Linked DNA regions of Tribolium castaneum. The protein of the gene in region 2 binds, or shares a complex with, the protein of the main gene of each other region. Links are inferred from orthologs where the notes say so. Each region holds a gene or a part of one and is shown on either strand. Other genes may lie near its edges.

Region 1 (2,205 bases), about 8.2 Mb from region 2:
CAAATCATCAAAGGAGAGAGTTTTGGTTCAATTAAAAGCTTGTTTATTCCGAATCTTGAGGGGTACGATGTTATTATTCACTTGCGCCCCCTTTTGAACCCCGTACGACACGAACAAGTCACTGGGGACGAGTCCGAGGGGCAAATTGTTTTGGAGGAATTTAACAGAAACGAAAGCACGAAAATTCCAGTCACTGGCTTTAACCCAGTTCAGTTGTATTTGGCCGAACTGCGCAAACATTACGGCGATTTTGCCAATTTTTTCCACGATACGTACGGAGGTAATTTTATCGGGGTTTTGTGGATACCTAAAGCTTTGGAAAGTCGAGACTTCAAGGTGAGATTTTTAGATGTTTTTTGATTTATTACATTTATTTTTAGGTGTCTTATGCAAGCGGGAGGAAACTTGTGAATGGAAAATTGGAGCTGAACGTGGATGCGTTGATTGAAGACTTTTATATTGTGGGAAAAGGCTTAGTCAAGTCAATTGATAAGAAGAAATAAAAAATCAAACAATTACTCTTATTATTTCTAACCATTACAAACCTTACAAATTAGTTTTTTTGGGCCCTCACGTGCTCAATAACCAGTTTTTCGGTGCTATATAATTGACTTACGACCACCTGGAGATAATTACGTCAATTAACCCCTAAACGAATTAATTGTGAATACCTGTCTTTTAATTACATCTAAATTACGAACTCCTTCATCCATTTTTTGCCTAATCACGTCCTGGTCAGTCAATTGTCTATTTTCCCGAAAACTGTCCCTTATCTTCCTTAAGGCATAGTGTCTACAACCCCCAATGAAAAAATCGTTTGCAAAAACGCCCTTACCTGAAGTTATAAGCCGGAAACTTCTTCGACTCGCGAATCAGAGCTTTATACAACTGCAACGCCTGTCTTTTACTCATTTTGCCCCAATTTTACGAAACCGAAAGAACATAACCAAAGAGTTGAGGTTGTGTTAGTTAGCGTTAGCCGTAACCTCAAACATGTGTTAGTTGTGTTTTTTTGGCGGAAAATAGTCTTTTGAAATGTCGGACGCTTGGGAAGAGATCCAAGCTATCAAAAGCAAGCGGAACATCCTGCGCGAACGCCTGGAAAAGCGCAAGAAGGAGCGGCAGGACATCCTTGGTTCGAGTCTCAACTCGTCACCTGTGCACCTGTCCGACAGCCCCCATGCGGGTGGTGTTGGGGGCGAAGATGTTAAAAGACCAGAGGAGGGTGAAATCGATTTGGTGAAAATCGACCCAGAGCTGGAGAAAGAGTTGTTGAAGGCGCTGAGCGAAGTCACTCTTCAGATCCCCACAACTTCGACGGAATTGGTCGATTCGTTGAAATTGACTTTGAAGCGACATGCCTCACATAAGGAAGTTTGCAATTTGTTGCAAAAATTCTCAACTCAGAAGTTGATCACTATCAAGGATTTAGTCAAAGAGGGGAAGAACGTGGTCGAAGTGACTTTTATCGATGTGACTAAAGTTAACGCAATGATTGCGGAGTTTTTGCCTGAACGGGTGAGGGAATCCCTGAAGCGGAAGCGAAACGACTCGGAGAAAAACGAAGACGAAGAGAAGAGGAAAAAAGAGAAGAAGGAACCAAAAGCTGACATCATGGTAATTAACTGATTGATTCTGTCCTTTTAATTAATTAATTTCCCTAGTCTTTACTATCAATGCCCTCAACGAAAGAAAAAGAGAGTAAAAAACTGGGCGAAGAAATTCTAGATCTGTTGAGTAAACCAACGGCCAAAGAGCGTTCGCTGGCCGAGCGCTTCAGGTCTCAAGGGGGCAAACAACTGATGGAGTTTTGCCCCCATGGGACTCGCGCCGACTGCGAACGAAACGGAATCACAGACTGCAAAAAATTGCATTTTAAAAAAATCATACAAAAACACACTGACGAAGCTTTAGGGGATTGTTCCTTCCTTAACACTTGTTTCCACATGGACACTTGTAAATACGTCCACTATGAAGTCGATCGCTGTGGGCAAACGGAGGGCGTAGCCCCGGCCGCCACCGCCGTCTCAGTGGCCCCAAAAGAAAGCACTACCTTGTACCCCCCGCAGTGGGTGCAGTGCGACCTGCGCTATCTCGACATGACTGTCTTAGGTTTGTTTGTCGGTCTTAATAATATTTGCGTTTGGTCGTGACTTCCAAAATTTAAAATCTTGTGAAAAGCTGCCATAATACGTCAAATGAGCC
Region 2 (2,340 bases):
AACTGGATAAGTTTGGCCTGAAACCGCTCAAAAGAAGTAAAGGTGCTAAGCTACTGAAATATATTTATGAGGCGACGCATCCTATAGTTGAAGATAACGATGGAAAAATTGTAAAAAAAAGACGTACTAATAATCTCGTCCAATTTAATGATATTATCGGTGATGTAGGAGAAGAGGAGGAATTGATTTTTGAAAGAACCCAATCAAAGCGAATAGCATCGTGTCGATTGCCTTTGCACATCGCCTGGCACAATTTAGTAATGAGTAACCCCAAAATTAGGGAAGATATATTGCTGTATGAGCCCCTCCAATTGGAGAATTTACATTCAATGTTAAAAGAACAAGGTTTCAAATACAATATTCAGGTAAGTTCAGTGTTTACAAAATATTTGTTTTTGCCAATTACGTGTTTCAGGATCTACTAACATTTTTAGATAAAAAGTGCATAACGATACGTACAGCGCAAGGTCAACGCAGTATCGGAAAAAAACAATGACGGGACTTATTTATAACTTTAATTAAATTTAGCAAATTTACACATTAAAGCTTTTAATTTTAATCCGACTACAATTTAAATATCACAACCCTTAAATCCGTTGACCATTTACTTCTCTTCCTTCTTCTTCTGCTTAATTCTGTAATCAGACAATGCCGCTTTTATCGCGTCTTCCGCCAGCATAGAGCAATGCAACTTGACGGGAGGCAACGACAACTCTTTTGCGATATCTGTGTTCTTCAGTTCAAGGGCTTGATCAACTGTCTTACCCTTTACCCATTCTGTAGCAAGAGAACTGCTTGCAATGGCTGACCCACAACCAAATGTTTTGAACTTAGCATCGATGATTTTCCCATTTTCGTCCACCTTGATTTGCAACTTCATGACGTCGCCGCAGGCCGGGGCCCCCACGAGGCCTGTGCCCACGGACTCGTCGTTCTTGTCAAGGGAGCCGACATTGCGCGGATTTTCGTAGTGATCGATCACTTTAGGGTGGTAGGCAGCTGCTAGGACTCTCAGCGGCTCCACGGCACGCAACAATTTTGAGGAGGAGCTCAACGCCATGCCTCAATTCTTGCGCTATCACTCTTCGCGAATATCAAATGTTTATTTGACCAATTTAACCTCCAAATTTGACGTCAGGCAAGTAGAGCTTGCGCCCGAATGTACCGATTCACGAATCATTTATTTAAAATATTTTTATCGACAAATAAATGCAATAATACTCATAGTGCAAAATTGCACAATGCTCTGAATACAATACAAATAGTGGAAAACACTGCTCTCAGTTTTTATTGATATTTTTTTCGGGCGTTATTACATTCGAAGGCAACTACCTTCAAGCAAAAAGTTTATAAAATCAAAATTAGCAAAATATTTAAAGTTTTAAATTGTTTTAATTGATAAAACGAGTTAATTGTTGTGTTTGCCCTATTCAAACTGGTTAATCGTGTTTTGCGTTTATAAAAGCAACAAATTTTAAAAAACTGTACATTTTGACAGGTGACGTTACTGTTGTCAATATGCTGGAAGAAAAAATACAAAATAATGATTAAACCCCGTAAAAGAAGTGAAATGTGATTAAAAAATCTGCAAGTTTTTGATGCGTTTTTGTGGTTAATTTATCCAATGTCTCCTTTTGTTGTTTTGTTTGTGTTTTCGCACCTAACCTTTATTGTAACAACTAATGAAGTGATTTATGTTAATAACCGGCGTTTGCTGAATGTGATACCCCCTCAGAGTGACGGAAAAAAAGTGGAAGCTAGCAAAGCAGAAGAGCCTAAGGATCATGTAGAAACAGTGCACATAAAAAATGAAGCAAAGGTTGAACCCCAACCTGTCAAACCTCAGGAAGTACCTCCTGAACCAAAAAAACCGAGCAAAACACTCGAAAAAAATGAAACGAAAGTTGAAGATCACAAAGTTTTCAAACCAACGGAAATGGAATCGGGTGCCCTTTTGCGGGGTGTTTCCGTTGTGGTGATTTTAACAGCTCTAGTAATTGTTTACATGGCCTTGAAGACTTATTGCGGGTAAATTAGCACGTAATTTGTTGTTCTAATGACTGACGGGTTTTGTTAGCAGTAAAAAAAGCAAACAACCTGTGATGGTAAGCAAATACGGTGTGAGGACACGGCGCAGTGACATAGAGATGACACCTCTTCCACTTGACGAGGACGAAGAAGACGAGACTTTGTTTGATGTGCACAACACGAATCGATAATTACATATTTCTTGTAAATACCTAATATTTTTGTATTAACTAACCTATTAAATATTTTTTCCAAAGTGTTGTCTCTTGTCACCACACGAAAAGGTCGCAATAAGCTTATATTTTGTAAATT

The links.
Region 1: IscU (region 2) and bcn92 share a complex: the UniProt entries of both Drosophila melanogaster proteins name them as parts of the mitochondrial core iron-sulfur cluster (ISC) assembly complex. The link is inferred for Tribolium castaneum from reciprocal best matches to the Drosophila melanogaster genes IscU and bcn92.

What each region holds. Positions count from the first base shown.
Region 1 is NC_087396.1:23,067,655-23,069,859, forward strand, and holds bcn92 (protein bcn92), read right to left. Parts: upstream 979-2,205; 5' UTR 913-978; coding exon 836-912; intron 793-835; coding exon 672-792; intron 623-671; coding exon 554-622; 3' UTR 504-553; downstream 1-503. Other genes in the region: Mat89Ba (nucleolar protein 6), read left to right, coding at 1-336, 381-503; Mettl3 (N6-adenosine-methyltransferase catalytic subunit), read left to right, coding at 1,036-1,617, 1,665-2,112. UniProt on the Drosophila melanogaster protein: Stabilizing factor of the core iron-sulfur cluster (ISC) assembly complex that regulates the stability and cysteine desulfurase activity of Nfs1 and participates in the [2Fe-2S] clusters assembly on the scaffolding protein IscU.
Region 2 is NC_087396.1:14,883,238-14,885,577, reverse strand, and holds IscU (iron-sulfur cluster assembly scaffold protein IscU), read right to left. Parts: upstream 1,157-2,340; 5' UTR 1,061-1,156; coding exon 605-1,060; 3' UTR 501-604; downstream 1-500. Other genes in the region: structure-specific endonuclease subunit SLX4, read left to right, coding at 1-365, 416-496. UniProt on the Drosophila melanogaster protein: Scaffold protein for the de novo synthesis of iron-sulfur (Fe-S) clusters within mitochondria, which is required for maturation of both mitochondrial and cytoplasmic [2Fe-2S] and [4Fe-4S] proteins.